2 linked regions of the Macaca mulatta genome follow. The protein of the gene in region 1 purifies or fractionates together with the protein of each later gene. This does not show direct contact. Links are inferred from orthologs where the notes say so. Each region holds a gene or a part of one and is shown in the gene's direction. Other genes may lie near its edges. The genes, in order: AKIRIN2 and IPO9.

The links.
Region 2: the proteins of AKIRIN2 (region 1) and IPO9 purify together in Homo sapiens (affinity purification with mass spectrometry; 3 studies listed by BioGRID and IntAct, counting the BioPlex papers as one, with this or other methods). This does not show direct contact. The link is inferred for Macaca mulatta from reciprocal best matches to the Homo sapiens genes AKIRIN2 and IPO9.

Annotation. Positions count from the first base shown.
Region 1 is NC_133409.1:98,259,680-98,269,827, forward strand, and holds part of AKIRIN2 (akirin-2), read left to right. Parts: intron 1-4,946; coding exon 4,947-5,090; intron 5,091-8,756; coding exon 8,757-8,906; intron 8,907-10,148. UniProt on the Homo sapiens protein: Molecular adapter that acts as a bridge between a variety of multiprotein complexes, and which is involved in embryonic development, immunity, myogenesis and brain development.
Region 2 is NC_133406.1:59,521,023-59,531,170, forward strand, and holds part of IPO9 (importin-9), read left to right. Parts: intron 1-1,083; coding exon 1,084-1,310; intron 1,311-3,014; coding exon 3,015-3,163; intron 3,164-3,941; coding exon 3,942-4,070; intron 4,071-4,936; coding exon 4,937-5,212; intron 5,213-5,498; coding exon 5,499-5,665; intron 5,666-7,143; coding exon 7,144-7,277; intron 7,278-8,561; coding exon 8,562-8,684; coding exon of another isoform or gene 8,685-8,693; intron 8,694-9,138; coding exon of another isoform or gene 9,139-9,141; coding exon 9,142-9,246; intron 9,247-9,461; coding exon 9,462-9,538; intron 9,539-10,102; coding exon 10,103-10,148. UniProt on the Homo sapiens protein: Nuclear transport receptor that mediates nuclear import of proteins, such as histones, proteasome and actin. Serves as receptor for nuclear localization signals (NLS) in cargo substrates.

The DNA of each region.
Region 1 (10,148 bases):
GCTCTGTCGCCCAGGCTGGAGTGCAGTGGCCGGATCTTAGCTCACTGCAAGCTCCGCCTCCCGGGTTTACGTCATTCTCCTGCCTCAGCCTCCCGAGTAGCTGGGACCACAGGCGCCCGCCACCTCGCCCGGCTAGTTTTTTTTTTTTTTTTGTAGTTTTTTTTTTTTTTTTTTTTTTTAGTAGAGACGGGGTTTCACTGTGTTCGCCAGGATGGTCTCGATCTCCTGACTTCGTGATCCACCCGTCTCGGCCTCCCAAAGTGCTGGGATTACAGGCGTGAGCCACCGCGCCTGGCCTATTTTTTTTTTTTTTTTAAGTAGAGACGGGGTTTCACTGTGGTCTCGATTTCCTGACCTCGTGATCCGCCCGCCTCGGCCACCCAAAGTGCTGGGATTACAGGCGTGAGCCACTGCGCCCGGCCGACATGTACTGGTTTTGCGCCCGGCCGACATGTACTGGTTTTGCGAATGAAAATGCTGTGAGTCGTAGAACTTGCTAATGACTTCCACTTAGCAGTATTTTATGGTAAAAGAGGTAGTTTTTAGGATTTAGTAAAAGAATATACAGCCATTTGTGTGCTGTAGCTTGTCTTGAAGATAACTCTACATATTTTGCTCTAAATGGTTGCTGCAAATTCAGTCTATGCCTCATAAGCCAAATAGGAAGGCATATGATTAAAACTGGAATATGCAACTGATAATACAAGTGAAGCTCGGACTTCTTTTTTCTTTAATGAACTTTAAATTGTATTGGCAAGACAATGTCAGATATTACATGTACCTTGGATAAAATGTTAACTTGCTGGTTTGGTAAGAGATGGCCAGATCTAAGTAGCTTAAGACTAAGTAGACAAGTACTTTACTGATATGTAGAAGGCCTTTATCTACCTGGTATGAAAGCAACTCAGGTCACCCAAGTATCTAGATTGAGCTTAGCAATGTGGTGGTTGTAGAATATTGAATCCGAGGAAGTTTCTTGAGTTTATCAGCTTCAAGACTGTTTATATCCCTGGACTGAAATAAATTGAGCTTGAGGCTTGCCATTGCAGTTAGCTGTTTGCTACTTGTGCGGTTGAGATCTTGGCCAAGTTAAATTGGACCCTTTACTGCATAACATTGTTGATCACATGTTACCAGTATTAGAGCATTTGAGGGCACCAGTGTGGCTTAGATGACATAGTTGCATCATATTTGATGTAAAAAGCATGCAGTCAATAGCTTTAAAAATTCTTCAGCTCTTTAGCTGACAATATCAAGTGTTGGCAAGGATGTGGAACAGCTGGAGCTGTAATACTTTTATGGTAGGAATGCAAAATGACAAAATCACTCTGGAAAATGGTTTCGCGATTTTATTTTGTAAGAACAAAATAAACCGTTCATTTGCCATATGATTAGGCAGCCTATTCCCACTCCTAGGGATTTATCCAAGAGAAATGAAAACATGTCCGCCAAAGACTGGTACTTGAATATTCGTAATAGTTCTAAATTGGAAACAGTCTTAATGTCCATTAACAGGAGAAAGGATAGATATGTGTGTGTATGTATACATACATACAATGGAATTCTCACCAACGAAAAGGAATTTCTGATTCATGCAAAATATATGAATCTCAAAAGCATTGTGCTGAGTGAAAGTAGTTCAGACATAAAAGTCTGTACTCTTTATGATTCCATTTATGTGAAATTCTAGAGAAGGCAAAACTATATAGTAATAGCAGATGAGTGTTGGTGGACTGTACTGGGGAAGTGGTGATGGTGGTAGTGAATTAACTGCAGAGGAGCCCAAGAGAAGTTTTTGGAGTGATAAAAAGTTATTTATCATAGTTAATGTTAGTTCCAAAACTGTATGTTTGTACTTGTCAGAACTCAAATGAATTGTACATTTAAATTGGTTAATTTTGTCATTTGTAAATTACACCTTAAAATGTTAGTGATGTCTCTAAGTGTCTGATGGTATAGAGTTTTACAAAGATAAATTTTTAAAAGTTTTACTGTTTCTTAATTCTGGGTTAGCTTTCATTTGAGATTATCAAATGAACAAATTGAGGTGGTTGTTATACAAGCATTCTTTTGGTACATTTTAGTTGTGCTTTGGTTGACTTGTGAAGCAGAAGGAACACTAAATCTGAGAACAGCTATGTGGTGATGAAAGAACGTATGTAAGTCACACAAAAGATAAATATTAAGGTCAGGTTACTCCAAACTAGTACCTCCTAAAATCTCTGGTTATAAATAAATTTTATGATGTTTTGAATAGCACTTTTGATCAGGATAATGGTAGCTTTGGACAGAAAGTGATGAATGTGAGTGAAGCTTACTTTCTGTCAGAGAGCAAAATATAAATGCTGGGTGCAGTGGCTCACACCTATAATCCTAGCACTTTGGGAGACCGAGAAGGTTGGATCACCTGAGGTCAGGAGTTCGAGACAGGCCTGACCAATATGGTGAAACCCTGTCTCTACCAAAAATATAAAAATTAGCTGGGCGTGGTGGCTCACGCTTATAGTCCCAGCTACTCAGGAGGCTGATGCAGGCGAATTGCTTGAACCTGGGAGGCAGAGGTTGCAGTGAGCCGAGATCGCGCTACTGCACTCCAGCCCGGATGACTGAGCGAGACTCCGTCTCGAAAAGAAAAAAACGCTTTAGATTGCTGTTACTGAAAAGAGGTCTGTTATTTAAAAAATGAGGGTATTTGTGTTTGTCGTGGTTGAAACCAGATGTTACATTAGTTTTATTGGGTACCTCTGGTGAATATTAGGAAACCTATTTATATCAAGGTATGCTTACCATTCAGAAGACAACTCTTTCATGCCAACACTGATAATTTAATAATTTAACCACTGTCACTCAATTGGAATAACTTTGTTTTCAAATTACAAAGTAGTTCAAATAAATGGAAAAGGACTGAAAATGACCATAACTCGTATTAAACAAATGTTAACAAATGAAAAATACAGCTAAAGCACTCCAACATAACCATCCTGAAATTAATCATTATAGACCTGTTTAAGTACACGTGGATGTGTGATTTTGTACTTAAACCACACATTCATGTATATATAAACAGGTCTTTTTATACAACGAAATTTATGTAAATGGTATCTTTAACTGGATATGTCTTGCAACATTTTTTCAGTTTAAATAATGAAACAAGCAGTATTTAAAATGTTTAAGGGAACTTATTTGTCCTCCCAGAGTCTCTCAAAAATTCTAAAAGTTCTCCTAGGGAAATAAAGTGAGAAAAGAGGTAAGTGACAAGATTTTGTAGATATGGTGGTTATCTACGAAAACCACCAGTGTTACATTTTAAAAAGAATTATTGTATGTAAATCTTTAGCTTTCTTTTTTGTGTGTCATAGAGACAGGGTCCCTCTGTGTTGCCCAGGCTGGTCTTGACCTCCTGGCCTCTAGTGACCCTCCCACCTCGACCTCCCAAAGTGCCATGGTTACAGGTGTTAAGCCACCCCACTTCACCAATATCTAACAGTTCTTAAATTAATGCATCATTGTAAAATTGAATTTTAAGGCTACACTCCACTCCGTCAGTCTTTTTATTGCCAGTTAATTGCCACCTAAATATTTCATTTTTATTTAATCTTGCTTTGGATTTTGATTAGTAAACTTCTAGGGATGTAGTTTCACATTGATACCCTGTTAACTTGGGAGCTATGGAGGTGTAGTGAGGAGGTGTAGTGAGGAGGTGTATGGAGGTGTAGTGAGGAGGTGTAGTGAGGTGTAGTGAGGAGGTGTAGTGAGGTGTAGTATGGAGGTGTAGTGAGGAGGTGTAGTGAGGTGTAGTGAGGAGGTGTATGGAGGTGTAGTGAGGTGGTGTATGGAGGTGTAGTGAGGTGTAGTGAGGTGTAGTGAGGAGGTGTAGTGAGGTGTAGTGAGGAGGTGTAGTGAGGTGTAGTGAGGAGGTGTATGGAGGTGTAGTGAGGTGTAGTGAGGAGGTGTATGGAGGTGTAGTGAGGTGTAGTGAGGAGGTGTAGTGAGGTGTAGTGAGGAGGTGTAGTGAGGTGTAGTGAGGAGGTGTATGGAGGTGTAGTGAGGAGGTGTATGGAGGTGTAGTGAGGTGTAGTGAGGAGGTGTAGTGAGGTGTAGTGAGGAGGTGTAGTGAGGAGTGGAAACCCCCAGGTAGGGATTTTCTGGAGGGGCCAGATGGTAATTATTTTGAGTTAGAAATCTTTCTGAAATGAATCATACTGGCCTAAAAGATATGCCAGATATAATTTTACTCATTCGTGTGATTGTGGTTCAAGATAATTGCACTGTGGTATGGTGGTTCTTATTTATTGAGGACCTGTCATGTACCAGTCACTTCACATGGTCTCTCCCTCACCCCACCCACCCTCCAGCCCCAAGATTCAGAATGCTATAGTATTCTTAGGTTTTATTGAGCTTAAAATAATTGGCCATGGCCATTTAATGTATGATGACTTTTTTAGTTCCCATCTGCTTTGTCATTTTGTTGACCTACTGTCACTTCAGACTGTTGTGTGCTTGAATATACATAATCCCCCACGCCCCTTCTTATTTATGGGCTTGGAAAAGGCATAAAGGCATTAAAGGCAGTTGGAAAAGCCTGTTAGTGTAATAGTTCTATGTGATGAATAAATGAGCTTTAAGTTTGGAACTCAAGAATCTGAGTAAAATAGGTGTTTGGGTTCACAGACTACTTGACCATTATTTTGATTGAAAAACTTTATTTTTGCTAGTCAGTGCTCAGCAAGAATATTGTTGAGCAGCTGAATTCCAGTTGGTGTGTATGTGCTAAGTGAATGTCCTCATTTATGCTGAAATGAGTTCCTACCAGAATGTCAGTTTTCTGGATATTATTTGAAAGGAATATTTTGGGTAGATTGGTCTACTAAATAATGTTGGAAAGCCAACCTCTTTTTTAATGTGAAAGTTTTTATCTTGCCAAATTTTAACTTTTTTTATTTTAGAACAAATTCTGTACAACATAAAACAAGAGTATAAACGAATGCAGAAGAGAAGACATTTAGAAACGAGTTTCCAACAGACAGATCCGTGTTGTACTTCTGATGCACAGCCACATGCATTTCTCCTCAGTGGACCAGCTTCACCAGGTAATAACATTTCTTTTCATTTATAAAGTTTATTATTTAGAGTGGGAAAAGTTTAATCCAAGTTGTCTTTAGTCATTTAAGCTACTATATCTCCTCTGAGTTTTAAAAAAACATTTATACAAGTAATGCATGACATCTTAAAAATATGGTACAAAATAAGGAATTATCACCTGGATTCCCACTAACCAGGGACAACCACCTGTATAATAATATCCCCAAAGTGGACATCCTGTAAGTACTATGATTTGTAGCCTTTATTAAAAAAATTAACAATAGGCCAGGCACGGTGGCTCATGCCTGTAATCCCAGCACTTGGGGAGGCCAAGCGAGGTAGACAGGTCACTGGAGGTCAGGAGTTGAGACCAGCCTGGCCAACATGGTGAAACCTTGTCTCTACTGGAAATAGAAAAATTAGCCAGGCATGGTGGCATGTGCCTGTAGTCCCAGCCCCTTGGGAGGCTGAGGCATGAGAATCACTTGAACCTGGGAGGCGGAGGTTGCAGTGAGCTGAGATCGTGCCACTGCACTCCAGCTTGGGCGACACAGTGAGACTTTGTCTCAAAAAAAAAAAAAAAAAAAAATTAACAGAATACTATATGCTCCTTTGTTAGGTATAGATGTACCTTGTCATGACCGAATGCTTATTGATAATTCAACTTAGATGTTTTGCTGGTATAGTATTTTAAGAAATATCCCTGTATACGTACCCTCCCTTACACACTTGTCTTATTGGGATAGATTTCTAAAGGTGGATTATTTTATTACTTTTTTTGATCCTGTATCTGTTTTTACCTACCTTTTGTTGGGGGGAGTGTTTGCAAATAACCTTCCTTTTTAAAAAAAAAAAAAAGGAATAAGGGCTACTTGAAGCAAAGAGAAAGTTGAAGGTTTTGCTGAAAGAGAGCCATCAATAGTGGCTCTTACCTTTAGTAAAGTTCTCAGCAAAATAGCTTTTCTTGTGACAACAGTTGCCTTTGTTCAATGCTTTCTCTCCTCCCTCTAGCAAGGGTGGGAAAACCTGGCAGAATAAAAAAATTTCGACCAGGCGCAGTGGCTCATGCCTGTAATCCCAGCACTTTGGGAGGCCGAGGCGGGCGGATCGTGAAGTCAGGAGATCGAGAACATCCTGGCTAACACAGTGAAACTCCATCACTCTAAAAAGACAAAAAATTAGCTGGGTGTGGTGGCAGGTGCCTGTAGTCCCGGCTACTGAGGTAGGAGAATGGCATGAACCTGGGAGGCAGAGCTTGCAGTGAGCAGGGATCACACCATTGCACTCCAGCCTGGGCGACAGAGCAAGACTCCGTCTCAAAAAAAAAAGAAAAAAAAAAAAATCAAAGACCATAATATAGTCAAATAAAATTAGATTAGGAAACATGAAATTGTTCAAAACTAAATACTGCCATGCCCATTGTGGGGGGCCAGTTATTAGTGGTTGAAACATAGTAAGAGGTGAGGGTTGGGTACTAGACTGTATTAGCAGGAAACCAAGATCATTATTTCCTTACTCACTTAGAAGATCAGTTAACTGGCTCTTAAGTAACAAAGCTGGGAATGTGAAAATAAATTAAGATAGCCTTGGGTAATTATGAATAAAGCTGGTGTGCTTTGTTATTGTGATATGCGCAGTTCTAATAAGCATAGTTAACTAGCTCCTGCCATGCCGGTTATAAGCAGCATTAAGTTAAGAGAGTAATATTGGTGGTACCAGGGCAAATTCACAGAGTGAGATGAAGAAACAATAGATAACAAATGAGTGGTGCACTTGAATGTGAATAAAATACTTTTAGCAGTATTACAATAGATGTTATTACTACAAAATATTTTCTCTTTTATAAAAAAATACTAATAGGTATAAAAATGCTGAAGGAATATTCTTGCCAATTTACTAATGATATTGACAGACACTGATGTTGCAGCTGCTTTGGGATTCTTAGTGTGATGACAGTGTAGTTCTATGATACTATAGAGTTTTGAGCATAGCATTATCAGCTCAGTACTTGAGCTTATTTTTCCATGCGAATTATTGTTAACTGAATGGTAGTAGTCAATGTGTTCAAACACCTTTAGAATCATTTATGCTTCTCCAGCAAAGTAGATTCCAGAATGTCTTTTTTATTTTGTTTCATTTTGTTTTTGAGACACGGTCTCACTCCGTTGCCCAGGCTGGAGTGCAGTGGTGAGATCTTGGCTCACTGCAGCCTCTACCTCAGCCTACCCTGTAGCTAGGAACAGGCACATGCCACCACTCCCAGCCAATCTTTGTATTTTTACTAGAGACATGGTTTGCCATGTTGTGCAGGCTGGCCTTGAGCTCAAGGGTTCCACCTGCTTCAACCTCCCAAAAAGTGCTGGGATTACAGGTATGAGCCACCATACCCAGCTAGATTCCAGAATGTTTTTTAATCTTTTTTAAAAAGGGTTCATGCTGTACCTTCTTTTTTTAAACAAAGGTTTTATTGTGCCAACATGAAATTTCTTTTTTTTTTTTGAGATGGAGTTTCTCTCTTGTTGCCTAGGCTGGAGTGCAGTGGCATGATCTTGGCTCACCGTAACCTCCGCCTCCTGGGTTCAAGTGATTCTCCTGCCTCAGCCTCCCGAGTAGCTGGGATTACAGGCATCCGCCACCATGCCCAGCTAATTTTGTATTTTTAGTAGAGACGAAGTTTCTACACGTTGGTCAGGCTGGTCTTGAACTTCTGACCTCAGGTGATCCGCCCGCCTCGGCCTCCCAAAGTGCTGGTATTACAGGCGTGAGCCACCATGCCCGGCCTATTTTCTTTTTTAATAAAGGAAAACCCCTTTCTAAAGGTGTGAAATGATGGTAGAATAATTTACCGGTTCATTGTGTGTGGGCTGTTAAGATATTAATGGTATGGCTTTGAAGATTGTGTCTTTTTACTGGCATAATGATTTGTTATTCTGGGACTAAATAAATTAAGTTTAGACCTGAGGTGTTCTTTATTCCTGGTGTAGGAAAGTTTAGGCACTAAAATACTTCATGGTATGGTATTTTCCAGAAAGGAGATGAGAGGTTTTGTAATGGGACCCATCATTGTAATGTTTGTTTTTTGTCTTTTTTAAATTTAATTTTTAATTTTTTGTTTTTGTTTTTTTGAGATGGAGTTTTGCTCTTTTTGCCCAGGCTGGAGTGCAGTGGCACGATCTCGGCTCACTGCAACGTCTGCCTCCTGGGTTCAAGCAATTCTCCTGCCTCAGCCTCCCGAGTAGCTGGGATTACAGGTGCCTGCCATCATGCCTGGCTAATTTTTTTTGTATTTGTAGTAGAGACAGGGTTTCACCATGTTGGCCAGGCTGGTTTCAAACTCCTGACCTCAGGTGATCTGCCTGCCTCGGCCTCCCAAAGTGTTGGGATTACAGGCATGAGCACCACGCCCAGCCTTTCTTATGTCTTAAAGTTTTTTCTACTCATCTTTAGACTTTTTTTTTATCTTGATTACATCTTGCCACGTTTTTCCAGCGTCACCAGCTGATGGAATTATTATTTTGGTTGTTTTAAGACTTGTGAAATGCTGTGCTTAAAATCTGATTTTAAAATGCTTTTATATCAAGATTGAAGAGATCCAAATGAAACCTCTTCATTTAGAAATTGCTTTCTATCATGGCTCTAAACCAGGTACTATTTTTTGTCCTCATTGTACATAGGGACTTCATCTGCAGCATCCTCACCATTAAAAAAAGAACAGCCCTTATTTACTCTACGGCAGGTTGGGATGATCTGTGAACGTTTGTTGAAAGAACGTGAAGAGAAAGTTCGAGAAGAATATGAAGAAATATTGAACACAAAACTTGCAGGTATGAGGTGTGTTTATTAGAGTTTCTGAGGAACTCAGTTGTACAAAATGCATTATTTTCCATGTGTGCTTTAATTTCACTTTCTATACACTACTGCAGTATATTCTCTGAGAACGAGAAAATTTCCGTTCAGGAAGGGAAATTAACCTTATGGCTCATGGCCCGCCTTGGTAACCTCAGGAAAAGAGTATTGGCTAGCCGTGTAGATAAGCAGTAGTATTGGTATGTACCCTGTACTAAAAAAGGATGTTAGTTGTTTAACTCAATTTGGTTGTGGATTTTTTGACTTTATATTTTTCATAACTTTGCCATCAATCTAGACATTTAAAATATCTAATTGGCTGTCACTGTGTAAGTCATTTGAGTGTCAAACTGCAGTCCTGTTTCAATTATCAGAAGAAATCAGTAAAATTTGATAATTTAAGTACAGTAAATAAAATTTATTATGTACGATAACATAAATAGAATGTTTAGCCACAGATTTACTGTTTATATAGATATGTAAGCTTTTTGATTCTTAAAGAATTAATGTAGAGGTGTTAATGTAGAGAAGAGAAATTGCTTAGATATATAACAACTTTTTCTGTGATAACTTGATCAGGTTTTAGGTAGTTTTTTGTTGTTAGCTTTTGTTATCCTATTCTCATTGCAGTCAGTTGCCATTCATAGCCCACATACAATAACTTTCCGAGTAGAAGGGTAAAAAGCTATTGAAAGCCCTTTGTGTTTTTTTTTTTTTTTTTTTTTTTTGAGACATAGTCTCACTCTCACCCAGGCTGGAGTGCAGTGGCAGTGTAGGCTCCGCCTTCCAGGTTCACACCATTCTCCTGCCTCAGCCTCTCGTGTAGCTGGGACTACAGGCACCTGCCACCACACCTGGCAAATTTTTTTGTATTTTTAATAGAGATAGGGTTTCACCGTGTTAGCCAGGATGGTCTCGATCTCCTGACCTCATGATCTGCCCGCCTCGGCCTCCCAAAGTGCTGGGATTACAGGCATGAGCCACCGCGCCTGGCCAATTTTTTTTTTTTTTTTAAAGATGGAGTCTCGCTCTGTCACCCAGGCTGGAGTGCAATGGCACGATCTCGGCTCATTGCAACCTCTGCCTCCCAGGCTCAAGCGATTCTCCTGCCTTAGCCTCCCGAGTAGCTGGGACTACAGGTGTGTGCCGCCATGCCCAGCTAATTTTTTTTTTTTTTGTATTAGTAGAGACGGGGTTTCACCATGTTAGCCAGGATGGTC
Region 2 (10,148 bases), on another chromosome or scaffold:
GATTTAGATAATTTTTGTTGTTGTGGTTTTGTTTTTGTTTTTGTTTTTGTTTGAGACAGTCTCGCTCTTGTCACCCAGGCTGGAGTGCAGTGGCATGATCTCGCCTCACTGCAACCTCTGCCTCCCAGGTTCAAGTGATTCTCATGGCTCAGCCTCTCTGAGATTACAGGTATCTGAGATTACAGGTGCGCAACGCCACGGCTAGCTAATTTTTTTGCATTTTTAGTAGAGATGTTTTGTCATGTTGGGCAGGCTGCTCTTGAACCCCTGACCTCAGGTGATCTGCCTGCCTTGGCCCCTCAAAGTGCTGGGATTACAGACGTGAGCTACAGTGCCTGGTCCTAGACAATGTATTTTTAACAGTTGTATCATTTTGGACATGGTAAGCAACATTCAGTAAATATTTGTTGATTGAAAAGAGGCTAATACAGTAAAACTATAAGGGAACTTTAAATCCTACAGCTAATAGGCTGATTTCGAAAGTATAAATAAAATGTTTATATAAGGCCGGGCATGGTGGCTGAAACCTGTAATCCCAGCACTTTGGGAGGCCGAGACGGGTGGATCATGAGGTCAGGAGATTGAAACCATCCTGGCTAACACAGTGAAACCCCGTCTCTACTACAAAAATACAAAAAAACTAGCCAGGCGAGGTGGCGGGCGCCTGTAGTCCCAGCTACTCGGGAGGCTGAGGAGGCAGGAGAATGGCGTGAACCCGGGAGGCAGAGCTTGCAGTGAGCCGAGATACAACCACTGCACTCCAGCCTGGGTGACAGAGCGAGACTCCGTCTCAAGAAAAAAAAAAAAAAAGTTTATATAAATTAAGCTTGTTTCAGGATGCAGAAAAAAAAACTTCAAGAAAAAAAGCAGAAGTTTTTAAAGAAAATAGCAAAAGTCAAATAGAGAACATAGAAATGGTGGTGCTAATGTTTATATAATACATCCAGAAAGAAGTAGAAACTTACCTAACTTTAGAATTTGCTTTATAAAGCTACACATATAAATGCTATAATATGTGAGATTAATTGGGAAAACCAGGAATTGAATTTTTTAAATAATAATTGCTTATCTGTCTCTCTCTAGTTATTGTGACCAACTGAAAGTATCAGAGAGTACCCATGTGCTCCAGCCCTTCCTCCCCAGTATCCTGGATGGCTTAATTCACCTAGCAGCCCAGTTCAGCTCAGAGGTCCTCAACCTGGTGATGGAGACCCTGTGCATCGTTTGTACAGTAGACCCCGAATTCACAGCAAGCATGGAAAGCAAAATCTGCCCCTTCACCATCGCCATTTTTCTAAAGTACAGTAATGGTATGCCACCAGGGAGAACTGTGTTATGAGGGGCACCAAAGAAAAGGTGGTGGCTGGGGAATTTAAATGAAAGATTCCCTAGGTTTGGTCTTACCTATGATGCTATGGTTTTAACATCATAAGCAAAGAATCTGGCTTTGGATTAGCAAAAAATAGAATTGTGCTGTAAATGTAGCAGCATTAAAAAATAGAGTACCTATTTCTGTAACACTCTCTAGTAAGGACTTAGGGAAAAAGATAATAAATAAAGGGCTTATAAGCAAGAGACATAATTCAGAACTTTGATGATAGAATAGGAAATTTGGCAAATGAAAAGCCTCCTAAAAGAAAAGGGCTAGGACTATAAGTTAGAAAAGGAGATACTAAAGAAAGATACATGTAAAAGTTTATGAACAAAGGTATTCACTAGATATTTTTTACAGTAGTAAAAATTTGGAAATTATAAAAAGACATTAGTTAATTATATCCATAAAATGAAATACTGTTCAGCCATTAAAAATCAAGCTAAAAAGGAATATTTAAAACCATGGGAAAGAGCTTACATTGTAATAAATGAAAAGATACTTTTCCCCAAAAATCCATAGAATATGATCCCAAGTTTTGATTTTTCTTTTAGGAAAGGATATATGTATAGTTAAGTATGTTAAAAAAAAAAAAAAAAAAAAGAAAAGAAAAAAATACATCAAAATTTTAAGAGTGTTTATCTCTAGGTGGTGGAATTACAGGTGTTTTCTTTATTTTCTGCAGTTTAAGTTTTTTTTTTTCCTATAGTGAATGTATTTATTAATACCTTATTACTAGTAAAATATTAAGGATTTTTTTTTTTTTAAAGGGAGAGCTCCAATATTGAAGCTCAGAAAGATGTACAGGATAAGGATTGTTTATATAATGTGATATACTGAACATGTTATTAGATATGCTTTTTCACTGAAAAATGTGTACTGAGGAGCTTTCCACATTGTGTTCTTGGATATATCTCATTCTTTCAGCCATTACATAGTATTCCATAAAATGGGTATATCATAATTTACCCATTCTGCTAATGGACATCTAGGGTATTCCCAATTTTTTTCTATTACAAACAATGCTGCAGTGATCTTTTAAGATATACTTTAACATACATTGCCTATATTTTTCCATACTAAATAGAGGAGGATGTTTTGTTATATAGATAAAGAAGATTGAGCTAAAGTTCCCTTTCTTCATAAGGCTCTGCTTTTTAGGAGTTTTGCCTTTTGCCCCAGAAGTAGCTTTGAGAATTGTTCATGGCCACTATGGCTACCTCATAGGAGATATGTATGATTTCTCTCATGCATCAAAGTCAGTGTTTTGGCAATTTTTGCAACTTTCTTCTTAAAGTATCAGTTGGGCTTTTTTTTTTCTTTTAAGCATATGGTTTTATAATCTAGGTTTCACAAGAATAAAGACTTTAAAGATTTTTCTTTAGAAAAACTACATTTTGTTTTAGGAGTAGCTGTTGAAGACTAGTCCCTACTTTAATGAAGCCATACAAAGTGTACCTCTTGGAGATTTAGGATCACTCCTGTTCTTTCAGGTTATTCATGTGGCCCCACTAGGTCCCGGATGTGTGATAAGTAATCAATGCAGAAGTTGTTAGGTTAGGGCAAACAACAGGCATCATTAAGCGAGAAGCAGATGCAGACCATCAGGCAGGGGGATTCCGTGTTGCCTTATCCACTTCAGATCCCGTCGTCGCCTCACTGGCTCAGGACATCTTCAAGGAGCTGTCCCAGATTGAAGCCTGTCAGGGCCCAATGCAAATGAGGTTGATTCCCACTCTGGTCAGCATAATGCAGGCCCCAGCAGACAAGATCCCTGCAGGGCTCTGTGCGGTAAGTGGCTGTGTGTGTGTGAGATATACAAGCGCCACCCACAGATGCATGTAGCTGACAAGAACTTAATAGCATTAGAGATTCATGGGGTGATTTTGCTGAGCTCTTTTGCCCACAATGACAGTGGGTGATTCTCTGAAGCTTTAAGAAAATGACTTGGCTTGGCGCGGTGGCTCACGCCTATAATCCCAGCACTTTGGGAGGCCAAGGCAGGTAGATCACAAGGTCAGGAGTTTGAGACCAGCCTGGCCAGTATGGTGAAACCCTGTCTCTCCTAAAAATACAAAAATTAGCCAGGCATGGTGGCAGGCACCTGCAGTCCCAGCTACTTGGGAGACTGAGGCAGGAGAATCCCTTGAACCCAAGAGGCAGAGGTTGCAGTGAGCGGAGATCGCACCACTGCACTCCAGCCTGGGTGACAGAGTGAGACTCTGCCTCAAAAAAGAATAAAAGAAAGAAAATGGCTCTTCTTGTTTCAGAGGTACCCTCAGTGAATTGAACAGAGTGCCACCATTACACAGCGCCACTAAGTATGTCACCTGGTTATCCAATCCACTACCATGTACTAGTGCCCACCCCTAGGACTAATCAATTAGTAAACTATTAGGAGGAGGCTGAGAGCACTACCCATTTAATTATTCCTTTTATTTTGGAAACTTGCCTTTCATTAATAAGCTTTCTCTGGGTTGCTATGTGATACCCATCCAGTAAGGATCTTAGTTGTTGGGCACCCCCAACCCCAGAGGCAATTCTGACTCTTTTTTCTTCTCTCTTTCAGACAGCCATTGATATCCTGACAACAGTAGTACGAAATACAAAGCCTCCCCTTTCCCAGCTTCTCATCTGCCAAGCTTTCCCTGCTGTGGCACAGTGTACCCTTCACACAGATGACAATGCCACCATGCAGGTATCTGAGACATGGAGACTAGAAGGGGGAAGATAGCTCCCCAGTCATGGGCCTTTACTACGCTGAGAAATCTGACATGGTTTTATGCTTTTGAAATACGGAATTCCTCAACTCCATATTTACTTAGCAGATTCAGGAAGGGTTCAGGCTGCAAAAGCCAAGCGTTTCTGGTGCTTTGGAGCATGTTACAGTTTTTAAAAATACAGATACCAAGCACCCTGCCCATCTGTATTGGGTATTGCTACTATGAAAGAGATTACAGACATCTAGACTTGGGGCCATAAGAAAGTCTTTCTGCATATTTCCTCTATTAATAAAATCAGCAGAGTGATGGGCCTCTAGAGAGGGGAGAGATGCCTAAATATTTTTTCTCTTTTTGTTTCCTGGGTGAATTGGTTACCTTTTCAGGTGTGTACTACCGTCATTGATTATAAAGGTTATAGGAACTTGCCAGTGAATATTGATCAGCTTAGAAATCCCTAGGCAACTAGTGGTTTGTGTAAGACCTATATGAGGTCCTATAGTATCCCCAATTATTGCAAGATTGTAAGCATATTTTTTTAGTACCAGAGGTAGACCTTTATGATTAAAATTCATTTTGCTTGGCCATTGTCCCTTGTGATTAAAAAATAATAATAATACATATTTTTGAGATAGCTCATTAGGTAAAGGGGGAATTATGTAATGCATGTCTGTGTCTATAACAGTAAATTCCTGATTCCAGTGATATGAGCCCACCACAAATACTATAGACTCACCGCTTTTATGAGGCATAGGCCTCTGAGAACATTTGTTTATACAGACTGAGGGCCTCCTGGCATCTGTCTCTCGGTTACTAATCTTGCTTGCCACCCCTGTCTCCCCAGAATGGCGGAGAGTGCTTGCGGGCCTATGTGTCAGTGACCCTGGAACAAGTAGCCCAGTGGCATGATGAGCAGGGCCACAATGGACTGTGGTATGTGATGCAAGTGGTGAGCCAGCTCCTGGACCCCCGCACCTCAGAGTTCACTGCGGCCTTTGTGGGCCGCCTTGTTTCCACCCTCATCTCCAAGGCAGGGCGGGAGCTGGGGGAGAATCTAGACCAGATTCTTCGTGCCATCCTCAGTAAGATGCAGCAGGCAGAGACGCTCAGTGTCATGCAGGTAAGAGAACAGTAGGGAGTGGGCTTCCTACTCCTGGCTGATAGAAGTGAAAATTAGTATTTTGGTCCTGAGTTATTTTACCCTGTTACTACCCTTGTAGGACAGTTAAGTAAAATGGGATCTGTCTGGCCTAAGAAACATGGACAAGGAAATCTCCATGTTTTCTTGTCCTGTGAATAATACCCTCAGTGTAGACTCTGTCTCTTATCTGACTGGCCAGTTCCCTCTCATCTTTTATGTCTCTGAAATTGATTTCCCTGAAGCAAATGTCCTTATTTTCTCCTAGTCCCTGATCATGGTGTTTGCTCATCTGGTGCACACTCAGCTAGAACCTCTTTTGGAGTTCCTGTGTAGCCTCCCAGGACCTACTGGCAAACCTGCTCTAGAGTTTGTGATGGCTGAGTGGACAAGCCGACAGCACCTGTTCTATGGACAGTATGAAGGCAAAGTCAGGTAGAATCCCATCTTTCTTTTCTGGGCATTCTGCCACCACTTCACCACTTATATTTCTTTCTTTTGTGTTTTTTTATTTTTTGAAACAGAGTCTCACTCTGTCCCCCAGACTGGAGTGCAGTGGCACAATCTTGGCTCACTGCAACTTCCACCACACCCAGCTAATTCTTTTGTGTGTGTGTGTGTGTGTGTGTGTGTATTTTTAGTAGAGACAGGGTTTCACCATGTTGGCCAGGCTGGTCTTGAACTCCTGACCTCAAGTGATCCACCCACCTCGGCCTCCCAAAATGCTGGGATTACAGGTGTTGAGCCTCTGCTCCTGACCTATATTTCTTTTTTTCCCTGATTTGCTCCATTGATTTTTGTTTGACATTTCAGATGGCTCTTTGTATTCCCTTTTCCTTGTCTTTCTTTATTGCTAAGGCACATATGTGAATAGCTGCCATCTTGAAATCCCCAAAAGACAGTCAACACAGGTAGACTATATATTTCTGATCTCTGCTTGCTAGAGATCCCTTTTCTACCGCAGACTTCACACAGCTAAGTGCTGCTAGTGGCTTATTTTCCTTTAGAAACCCAAGCCTTGGCCAGGCGCACTGGCTCACACCTATAATCCCAGCACTTTTGGAGGCTGAGGCAAGCAGATCACTGGAGGTCAGGAGTTCAAGACCAGCCTGGCCAACATGGTGAAACCCTCTCTCTACTACAAATACAAAAAATAGCTAGATGTGGTTGTGGGTGCCTATAATCCCAGCTACTCGGGAGGCTAAGGCAGGAGAATCGCTTGAACCCAGGAGGCAGATCACGCCTGGGCGACAGGCAGATGCACTCCAGCCTGGACCACAAGAGCAAAACTGTCTCAAAATAAAAAACCCAAGCCTCTAACCCTGGCTTCTTAACTTTCTATCCTGGACTTTTATACCACTGATTCTTATCACTTCGTTGCACGTTACAATATGGATAGCCATCGTGATGCTTGCCCACCCTAGCTTTGTTCAAGAAGAACAGGTTACCTGTAATCCCAGCACTTTGGAAGACTGAGGTGGGCAAATTGCTTGAGACCCACCTGGGCAACGTGGTGAAACCTATCTCTACCAAAAATATTAGCCAGGCATGGTGGCACGTGCCTACCCACTCAGGAGTCCCAGCTACTCAGGAGGCTGAGGTGGGAGGATCACCTGAACCCAGGGAGGTCAAGGCTTTGCAGTGAACCATGATCACGCCACTGCACTCAGCCTGGGTGACAGAATGAGACCCTATCACAAAAAAAAAAAATAAGAAGAAGAAGAATAGATCTCATTAGACCATCTCATGAACTCTAAAATCTCATTTTCAGCTGAACTCTCTTAGCTCTCCTAATTAGTTGTTAACAGAATTTTCACTGTCAAATAGAGGGCCTTAGGACATGATTGCTTATCTCCTTGGCATGAACTCTAGATAGGTAACTGATTGACTTTTTTTTGGATCTTCCTTGCCAGCTCTGTGGCACTCTGTAAGCTGCTCCAGCATGGCATCAATGCAGATGACAAACGGCTACAGGATATCCGTGTGAAGGGAGAGGAGATCTACAGCATGGATGAGGGCATCCGCACCCGCTCTAAGTCAGCCAAAAGTGGGTGATGCTGCAATTCCTCCAATCCTCTCCTTATAATAAGGGGCTAAGGATACCTGGGTGGAGGGAAGGAATGCATTGTGGTGTATATTTTCAAAACATAATTGTTGGTGATGGGTTTGATAAAGAAGCAACAGGAAACTTAGATAAAAGGGATCAGAACATATGGTTTCTTCCTGTTGTCAAAAATGGACAAAAATAAGCTGGGCGTGGTGGCTCACGCCTGTAATTCCAGCAGTTGGTGGGAGGCCAGGGCGGATGGATCACTTGAAGTCAGGAGTTTGAGACCAGCCTGACCAACATAGTGAAATCCTGTCTCTACTAAAAGTACAAAAATTAGCCAGATGTGGTGGTGGGCGCCTGTAATCCCAGCTACTTGGGAGGCTGAGGCAGGAGAATCGCTTGAACCTGGGAGGCAGAGGTTGTGGTGAGCCAAGATCGTGCCACTGCACTCCAGCCTAGACAACAAAACAAGACTCCATCTCAAAAAAAAAAAAAAGTGAGTGTGATGGCTCACAACTGTAATCCCAGCACTTTGGGAGGCCGAGGCTGCCAGATCACCTGAGGCCAGGAGTTCGAGACCAGCCTGACCAACATAGAGAAACCCCACCTCTACTAAAAATACAAAGTTAGCCAGGCATGGTGGCGCATGCCTGTAATCCCAGCTACTTGGGAGGCTGAGGCAGGAGAATAGCTTGAACCCGGTAGGCGAAGGTTGCAGTGAGCCAAGATCACGCCATTGCACTCCAGCCTGGGCAGCAAGAGCGAAACTCTGTCTGGAGGGAAAAAAAAGGACAAAAATAGTCTCAGGTACCAAGCATCCCAGTTTCCAGCTTCATTCTGAGGCTTGGGCACAGATGGTTAGTGTGTCTTTGTTACTGAGTTGACTTTGGCCTGTAACACCAAGGATTTGCAGGTAGGGAGTATAGAGCTGCTATCTTTAATGTAGATTTATAATTACCTCCGCTGTCTCTCAATTTGTAAGTCACTGGGACTAGAGTACTGGCTCTATACAGTTCCTTGGTTTCAGAGCTTTATTACTAACAAGACTCTATCTCCTTTAATCCCTGAACTCTCATCTCTCCCACCTTCTGAACTGTTACAATACCAAACAGAATAAAGTTATTAAACTTTAAATCACTCTTTGGAGACTAGATATAGTCAGGGACAGTGAAAGTCTGAGGGGTGGTGAACTCTGGTGAGCAGCACTGAGGAGGGGACAGGGCTACTTCCAGAAGTAAGCCCAGTGACACTCTGACTTGAAGCCTTTTTCTTCCTTCCCAGACCCAGAACGCTGGACAAACATTCCTTTGCTGGTCAAGATCCTAAAGCTGATCATCAACGAGCTCTCCAACGTCATGGAGGCTAATGCCGCTCGCCAGGCCACTCCTGCAGAGTGGAGTCAAGGTGCACCAGGCCCTTACTCCAAGGAGACTTTTAGCCTGGCAGATCAAGTTACAAATTGTCAAATTAGCAACTTGGTTTGTTGAGTCACTAATTGAAAAAAAAAACAAGTTAATGGTTAATGGAATGGCTGCTCTGTGGCTGGCACCGTGCTAGGCACTAGGCATGTAAAGAGCTGCTTCTCCAGTCTGCCATATGAAGGCTGGGGTGGGAGGCAGCCAGGAGGCAAGCTAACATAGCCCTTCTTTGGTTTGATTCTTCTTAAGAGCCTCTCAACCTTTATATCTCCAGGTTCTTTCTTTCAGATTTACCAGAAGGGTTTGGCCATTTCTGGTTCTCTTTCACTGGGTACTACAAGCCACATTGCAGAAGCCTTTGGGGCCCTTCTGGTCTGTTTGGATTTGGGGAGGGGAAATGCATGAATGTGCCCTAGCTCTAGCTACTTTTCATCTCCAAGTAGATGACTCCAATGATATGTGGGAGGACCAGGAGGAGGAAGAGGAGGAGGAGGAGGATGGTTTAGCTGGCCAACTTTTATCTGACATTCTTGCTACAAGTAAATATGGTAAGCTGTTTGATAAGAGGACAGCCATGGTAAATACCTTTTCTTTCCACACTGATCCCAAGAATGGGGTACCCAAGAAAGGGGAGAGGTGGGCCCACAGGGACATTCCTTGGGCTTTTGCACCTTCCGCCTCCGTCATGTGGTAGTATATCACCATTCAGGGCCTGATCATGGGCCTTTGTCCTGATCCGCCCTATGTTGGCTGTGTCTAACAGAGGAGGATTACTACGAGGATGATGAGGAAGATGACCCTGATGCCCTGAAGGATCCTCTCTATCAGATTGATCTGCAGGTGAGGGTGTCCAGAGATGTCTTGCAAATGGCAATGTCCCAGGCCATGGAAACAGGAATATGGGCTCAAATCCATTTATGGCCAGGCATGGTGGCTCATGCCTGTAATCCCAATACTTTGGGAGGTCAAGGCAGGAGGATTGCTTAAGCCCAGGAGTTCAAGACCGTCTGGGCATTTTTACCTCAAAAAAAAAAAAAAAATTTTTTTTTCCCAAAAAAAAAAAAATCAATTTATAATTTAACATGGGAGCCTCACGGGAAAGAGTTCTTGTCTTGTTGAGTGGTCCAGTGTTTTGGATGGGCTGGAACTTTGCACTTGATGTGTTGTAATTCATCTTCTAGAGTCTATGTCGTGAAGGTCCTTGGGGTGATAGAGCCTTGGAAAAATGTTGTTTCCCTGTGGATTATCTAAACTAGATCCAAGAACATGAAAGACCATCCCTCAGGGAGCTGGCATTTGTCTAAAAACCAGCATTCCCTGTGCCATTTGATTGTGGTTCTTGCTTCACTGCAAATGGGTGACTTGCAACATCTCACTAATGCCACTCTTGCTCTTTTCCTCCAGGCGTATCTCACAGATTTCCTCTGCCAGTTTGCTCAGCAGCCCTGCT